2 linked regions of the Caenorhabditis elegans genome follow. The protein of the gene in region 2 purifies or fractionates together with the protein of the main gene of each other region. This does not show direct contact. Each region holds a gene or a part of one and is shown on either strand. Other genes may lie near its edges.

The links.
Region 1: the proteins of mtx-1 (region 2) and immt-1 fractionate together in Caenorhabditis elegans (co-fractionation; one large-scale study listed by BioGRID). This does not show direct contact.

Annotation. Positions count from the first base shown.
Region 1 is NC_003284.9:2,685,470-2,689,393, forward strand, and holds the start of immt-1 (MICOS complex subunit MIC60-1), read right to left. Parts: upstream 1,716-3,924; 5' UTR 1,689-1,715; coding exon 1,671-1,688; exon of another isoform or gene 1,607-1,670; coding exon 1,518-1,606; intron 1,472-1,517; coding exon 1,304-1,471; intron 1,252-1,303; coding exon 1,043-1,251; intron 998-1,042; coding exon 750-997; intron 282-749; coding exon 162-281; intron 112-161; coding exon 1-111. Other genes in the region: T14G11.1 (Membrane-associated protein), read left to right, coding at 3,524-3,619, 3,668-3,800.
Region 2 is NC_003279.8:14,754,756-14,758,679, reverse strand, and holds mtx-1 (Metaxin-1 homolog), read left to right. Parts: upstream 1-2,267; 5' UTR 2,268-2,303; coding exon 2,304-2,372; intron 2,373-2,420; coding exon 2,421-2,675; intron 2,676-2,724; coding exon 2,725-3,339; 3' UTR 3,340-3,526; downstream 3,527-3,924. Other genes in the region: dnj-12 (DNaJ domain (prokaryotic heat shock protein)), read right to left, coding at 248-408, 459-900, 949-1,404, 1,452-1,601.

The sequences.
Region 1 (3,924 bases), on a different chromosome or scaffold from region 2:
AGCGTGAATATCAACATTTGGCAAGATGCTCTTCATCTCAAGAGCAAACTGTTGACGAGACTTCTCAATCAAATCCTTGTACTGATTGAGGACTGCAGATTCTTGACGAGACTGAAAACAATTTTGACAATTTTTGGTAAAAGTGCCAATGCATGTAATACCTTGTTGACCAATGCGTTGATCTCATCAAGCTGATGAGAAAGCTTATTAGCAGTCTCTTGAGCATTCAGAAGTAGCGGATTTGTGGCGGTAGTTGAATCTCGCTTTCCATCGTTCACAATCTGTAAATGTCCGAATTGAGAAAAATAAATAGTTATTATTAAAAATTTGCATTTAATCAAATATTAAACAAGCGTCTCTATTTTCAGTTGCATTTAATTCCTTTTCGTAAATGAGCTTGGAAGAGGTCCTTTTTACAAATTTTGAAAAAAAAACAGGGTCGAAGTATTGCAACAAGACAAAAATCATAGGACCTGTCACATAATAACTTGTGTAGCAGTTCAAAAACAGGCACTAGATAGCCGAACTTCCGCAGACCGGACGACAGATTTAGTCCGGTTTAGTCAAGTCCTAGTTTCCAATGGTCTAACGACTCTGGGTATTTTATTATGAAGGTGTAAGACCAAAATGTGCTCATTAAAAGAATTTCGCAATGAAGTTTCTCAAAAAATTTAAAAATTTTGTGTCATTGCGGTTCAAAATTTCAAACATAAATTTTTTTTTGGGTGTTAGGCTGTACCAAAAGATACCTTGCGAAGGTTATCAATGTAGTTTCTCCCGTCCACCTCTTGGCCACTGTCGACGCGTGCCTCAGCTTCGGCTCTTTGAAGAGCAGAAGTGACGTTTTCCCAGTTGGCGTGCTTAGCATCATCGACGGTTTGCTTGAGAATACTGGCATGCTCATTGATCGCATTGATGGTCTTCAGCTTGGCCTCAGTGGCTAAACGCACTTTTCCTTCAGCAGAGTGAATTGCGATTTTAAGCTTCTCCTCAAGTTCTGTAACTTTAAACTGTTATGAAAATTACGCTTAAAAAATCTTACGTTGGTTCTTGGCAAAGACGACATCTGGAGAAGGTTTTGGGATCATTGGGGTCACATCTTTGCGAACATCCACTGGGTCAACATGTGTGGGCTCTCTTGGAAGGACAGGCGGCAGTGGCGCGAGCTCCAATGGAGGAAGAACTTCCTTCTTTTTTGGGACAGCGTTCACTACAGCATCCTTGAGGTCACCGATCTGTTGTTTTGTCTTCCTGAAAAAGGATTATCGTTAAGACTGTCACTTTTTTAGTAAATAAAGCTTACTGCAAGCTAGATTCTCCCAAAACTGCGTCGAAAACTTGTTTCACTGGCGGAACAGTGGATTCGACTTTGTGACGGAACTCAGGGTCGACATACGCGTATCCGACAACACCACCAGCTCCAACAACGGTTGCTCCGACAAGAGCCAATCCTTTGCCACCTCCGGATTTTCTGAAATACGACGCGTTTTTATTATCGATTTTGGTGTATGTTTTACTTTGGTGGTTGAACTGGTGGCTTCGGTGGAGCAGCGGCTTGATTTGATTGTTGACGGGCTCTTTTCAACGTCTGGCTGACTGATCGCTTCTGAAATGAAAAAATTATACATTTAAACTAAAAATTGCATTTTTTTAATGAAAAAAAAACTCACCGATGCAATACGAAACATTTCCGCGACGAGCAGCGAATAATTTACCTAAAAAGTAATAAATTTTACAACGAAATTTTATATAAATCAAGAAAAAATCAAAATAATCAAGAGAGTGCAATCGAAAAAGAAATAAACATATTGTTTAGTGTTCGAAGATTAAGTTGCGCGTCATGCACGAGAAACGCGCCAGCAATCGATGTCTGTGTATCTTTTGTAAGTGCGTACGGGACGACGGGAAGAATGGCTGTGTGGGGAGGCATTGGAAGAGTGTGGCAGGGAAACAAAGGGAAATTGCCGATGCATTAAACGTTTGGGACATTTTGAACGCATAAACCCAAAATGAGCTCAAATAAACGAATTTTATAATGAAACTTCATTAAAAATTTTCAAAAAGTAGTTTTTGCCGGTTGAAAATTTCGAAAAAAAAACGTATTTCAAGTGAAATCTCCAATTTCGGCCATTTTTCCGTATCGCACACCTGGTCCATAAAAATTTTCCAACACTTTTAAAAGTGATTATTTAATCAAAACGCGGAATTTGGTTGTATTTTTAAGCTTAAAAAAACTTTAGTCCTAAGCCTAATATCGACAAAAAGGGTAACGTTAATTTTTCAGAATTGTAAACACTACAGAAGTACCGTAATTTTGTTAATTAAAATACATTTAAAACCGATAGGAAAAAATTATAGTATTAAAATAGCAGCTTTGGATTACTACGACTTGGAAAAGTGGCCAAATTTAAAGATATTTGAAGTGCCATAAACGTCCTAAAATTTTATGCAACATGAATTTTTACTGTTCTGTGTAACTTTTCAATTTAGAAATCAACATTTGTACGCAAAAAAGTGCAGCAAAAGTGCAGCATATAGTACCAGATATTTCCTTAAACTTCAGAAAAATGTTTGCTTTATTTGAAAACATCTTTAATATAATTCATAAAAATAAAAATAAAAAACTGCTTAGAAATTGTCTCTAATTTAATAAGAGCCGGAAAAATATCCCACAAATTATGGAAAATAATTTCCGGCAATTTTCAACTTGCATACTATTTTTGAGCATTTTTACAGTTGTTTCATATTAAATAAAACATTACTTTTAGATTAAAAAAAAAGTGTTTTTCTATATTTTATTTTTAACATTTAATAAAATATATCACTTTTTGCTCATTTTGGCTCATTTTGTAGATTTGCCGAAATTGCCGCGCACCCCTGATATGTACACTTTACCGGAAATTTTTAAAAATTGATAATGCACTAAAAAAATAGTAGAAACCATTAGAAACCAGTGTACAATTGATAAATGGTGTTTGTATCTGGGCATTTCATGTTGAAAAAAAATCGCCAAGGTCATTTGTTTGGTTAGGCCAGTGTACTTGAAATTGGTAGTGTTAGAACTTATATTTTATTTTTAAAATAATTGATTTTCAATTTCTTTTTTCATTTTTCTTCCAATTAACTCTTTCCATTCAAATAGAATTTTGAAATATACAAATTCTCAGTCACCATACACAACTTATTAAAGCGCAAGAATTTTAACATGCCCAGCAATGCTTAAGAGACGCAGAGTATATTCACCGTAGTTTGAAGCGAGGGTCTCGAAGCGATGTGGCAGTGAGAGTGGGGCTGCCTTTTCCTCGGGTTTGCACCCTCTCATCCGCCGCTATTGATTCTCTTTCTTTTCTCAATTTCCCTCGGGCTCGATGGGCTCGCTGCTTCTTTTCATTTTCGTGTTTTTTTTTCGTCAGCAGGCACATTGAATAAATATTCCGAGGCAGGGTCACAGAAAATTCTATGTCAACTTTTCTTTACTTTCTTATTTAACTCTTACTTTGTCCCATTTAGACGTTTCCAGAAAATGTTTTTCTCCAAGCTTGGATCATTATGCACTAGGATGGATTTTCGTGATGCCAATATTCCAGCCGCCTCTTTCCACACCGTTGCAGCTATTCTGGTAAGCTTTTGCACATGACTTCAATAATAGTATTCTCCAATATTTCAGGCAATTTTCGCAATGATGTCTACAGACTGGATTCTCATTGAAGATATGAGCACAAAAAACGGCACAACCGACATCGACGCTTTGCAGGTGGCTCAACTTTACATGAAGAACACAGAACCCTGTCATGCAATTGGTAAGTCTTGTTTAGCATTGCAAAAAAATAAATTGTGTAGAAGCTGAGAGCAGATGACTGTGCAAACTTTTCAAAAAACCATTTTCTTGTAATGACTTTTACATTAAAACTGAATCAAAAGCTG
Region 2 (3,924 bases):
AAAGTAATGAAGAGGGGACGAAACGAGACCATATGGAGCAGGAACTAAAGTTGATGGGAATAAAAAGTAAAACGAACGGGGAACACAAAAAAATAAATCAATTTCAAGATCACAGATCGTCGAAATTAGGCTTATGAGTTTTTAAAAGATGAAAACCATGCAGATAGTAGGAAAGAAATGGAGCCAAGTTTGAAATCCTAAAATAGTGAAGGAAAGTGACCAGAAAAAGTGTAAATTGGTGTGAAATTCAAGACTGTTGGCATTGAACGCCTTGTGGCCCGTGTCCATGTCCACCGAATCCACCGTGTCCTTCAAAGTCGTCGCGCTCAGCGAAATTCCTGCGAGATGCTTGTGGATCTAACTCGGTCAGCTCAACGACTTCCGCGTCTTCATCAATGATTTCTTCTCCTGAAAGAAAAATGATTAGTATTTCACACTGTAAACGCAATAAAACGAACTCTTTCCAGGCAGTAAATCGGCTAGCTTCTTCGCGGCATCTGGATTAATTTTATCGGGGAATTTCACATCGAACTGTACGAGAAGATCTCCTTTATCAGATGATGCTCGACGCATTGGCATTCCCTCGTTGTGGATCACTTTAACATCGGCATGAGCAATAACCTCTCCAGGAAGAACACGATAGAAAATTGTTCGACCATCAAGTGTACTGATTGTTCGCACAAATCCGCACAGAGCCTCGGAAAGATCGATATTGTGTTGAATAATCAGATTATCGCCTTTTCGGACGAATTTCTCGTGTTCAACCTCGTCGAGCACAACTACAAAGTCTCCAGGCTTCTCAATACCGATCACTTCGTCTCCTTTTCCTTCGAACACAAACTTCTCGCCATCTTTCATGCCAGGCGTGATTCCAACTTCAATAATTTCGTCTTCTTTCACCTGAAATCACTAATTATAGTTTCGAATTCGATTGGAGAAAAGTCAAACCTGCTTCTTTCCGTTACACTTTTTGCAGCGATCTTTTTCAAGGAATGTTGAGCCTTCTCCATTACAACTGTCGCAGTGAGATTGCATTTGTTGAACCATTGGTCCCATTCTGATAACACGAACCTTGATTCCACGTCCACGACAATCAGAGCACTCCTTAGCGGATCCCTCGTTGCCTCCAAGTCCCTTGCATCCTTTACAAGTGGCAGTTCTTGAGATTTTCAGCTTTTTCGTAACACCCTTGTACAGTGTGTCGAGTGTGACCCGTAAATTGTGAACCGTTGGTTTTACTCGACGTTCTCCACGACCACCACGACCACCGCCTCCGAAGAACATGTCGAATACGTCGAACGGATTGTGGAATCCCTCTCCGCCACCACCACCGCCTTGAAGTGCTTCTTCTCCACCCTGATCATAAATCTGACGTTTCTTCTCATCTGATAATACTTCGTATGCCTGCAATATGAGTAATTTCAACTTTGCAGCTGGATTTCGTAACAAACCTGGGAGATCTGCTTGAATTGCTCAGCTCCGTCTGGATTCTTGTCTGGATGGAATTTGAGCGCCATTTTACGGTAGGCCTTCTTCAACTCATTGTCTGAAGCATCCGGCTTTACTCCGAGAACGTCATAATATCCTGTTTCCTTCACCATTTTGATAAATACGAATCTGAAAAAGAAAATAATAATTTTTCTTCATTTATCGACGAATTTCGAGTGTCAGAATGAAAATTATACCAAAAAGCGAATTGTTTTGCGTAAATCCAACACGATAAAATCGATTTTGAAGTCAAAAATGGGGAAAGTCAAGAGATAAAGGGCGAAAAAGAGGAGAAAACGCGAAAACTGTTCTAACGATTTTTCGTGAACATTCTCGACACTTTTATCGGTGGAGCGCACTTGCAACTCACCAAGCGGGGACATTTTTGTCTCGTGGAAACTGATTCGTGAGAAATATTTTAAAAATGCACGATTATTTGTGGAAAACTAAAAAAAATCTTACATAGATTTTCATTCAAAACAACTATTATACAGGATAGCAATTGGGGAGATACTGTAATTTTAAAATCTTTTTAAAAATCTGTTTTTTTTTCATTCATGAATGAACTGCAGTTTTGATGTTTTTTCAAACGTATTCTTCAAAAACTCGAGAAATTAGCAAAAATTGAGGCTTTGTTCGAAATTTTCCGCAGCTTCCGTGATTCACACATTAAAAAAACTCCAATTTAAAATTCCCGCAAAAAAGTGGCATGGCCGTGACCGAGGTTTCACCTGAGCGGCTCCATTTTTTTCCTAGTCCATCTTGATTTTTTTCCGAATTTGGAATTTCAAGCTCAAAATTTGTTTGTAATATCAATGGAATTACACATTTGGCCGTCAGACTTCGGTCTCCCAACTATTGACGTTGTGTCTCTGCAGTTTTTGGTAAGATTTTGTGTCAACTTTGGTTAATTATCGTCATTTCTGTTCCAGGCGTGCTCTAAAATGTGTGCCAGCCCAGTAAGAGTCATCCAATCGACCCGTCCTTGGAGATCGCCGAGCGGTGAGCTCCCAATGGTCGCTCAAACCGAAGGAGAAGCAAAACCAGTGACAGATTTCGAAAAATTTGTGGATATTCTGAAAAAGTGCGGCCAAGACGTGGTTATCGATGCAGACTTGACCACTATTGAGAAAGCACAGTTGGACGCATTTTCCTGTTATTTACATCACAATTTGTATCCAGCAGTGGTAAGATTAAAGAAAAATTAAGCTGAAATAAATCAATTTTCCCTTCCAGATGCACACATTTTGGACGGACGAGCTCAATTACAATACAGTGACGCAATATTGGTACGCATCTCATCTGCATTTCCCCTACAATCTGTATTACCTCGAAAAGCGACGAAAGAAGGCATTGCGATTGTTGGCTGGAAAGAATGACACTGAAATTTTGAAAGAAGCATTCATGGCGTTGAATACTCTATCCACAAAGCTTGGCGATAATAAATTTTTCTGTGGAAATAAGCCGACGTCACTGGATGCCCTGGTATTCGGCTACCTTGCTCCACTGCTCCGAGTTCCACTGCCAAATGATCGTCTTCAAGTCCAGCTCTCAGCATGTCCGAATTTAGTGAGATTCGTGGAAACTGTGTCATCAATCTACCTGCCACTTGGCGAAGATGAGCTCAAAAGACAACAAGCGAATCGGAAAATGTGGCAATCTCGGATCTCGAAAGCAAAAGCAGACAAAGAAGCCGCGAAAACAACAGAAGAAGCGTCGGAATCACTTCCAGAAGAGCCTCCAATGCGGGATGCGATTCTCTTCACTCTCGGAGCTCTCACGTTGTCATTAGTGTTCGCAATTCATACCGGTCTGATTCAAGTGTCAGTCGAAGAGGAGATCTCTGAGTGAAAATTGTTGTATTTCTTTTTAAATTGTTCTTCTTTTTTTGCTTGCCCCCTACCTACTGCCACCCACGAGACGACAAAATCAGAAATTTTCTAGTCCCTCTACGTTCATCTGATTGCATTTTATTGGTTCATAGAACATTTTCTGGTAGATTTATTGGATCGTAAATATAATGAATGCTTTATTTCCGAAATTTAGCTTTTTGCGCTTTTTAGTTGGATTTGGACGGAAGCGAGGAAAAATTGAATCAGATATGAATTTCGAACTCAAAAAAGCAATTATCAATTTCTATACATTTAAGGAAGAAAGATCCTCAACAAGCTAGAACTATTGTTAATTTTAAAAAAAGTTAATTTTAATTACTATATATTTGAACAAAATGATAGGAAATTTTCAATTCCGGCAAATTGTCGGTTTGCCGGAACTTGTCAATTTCGGCAATTTATCGGTTTGCCGGAAATTTGAAATTCCGGCAAATTGCAAGTATGCCCGAAATTTTCAACTCCGGCAATTCGCCGATTTGCCGGACATTTTCCATTCCGGAAAAATTTGCCGATTTGCCGGAAATTTTAAATTCCAGCAATTAGC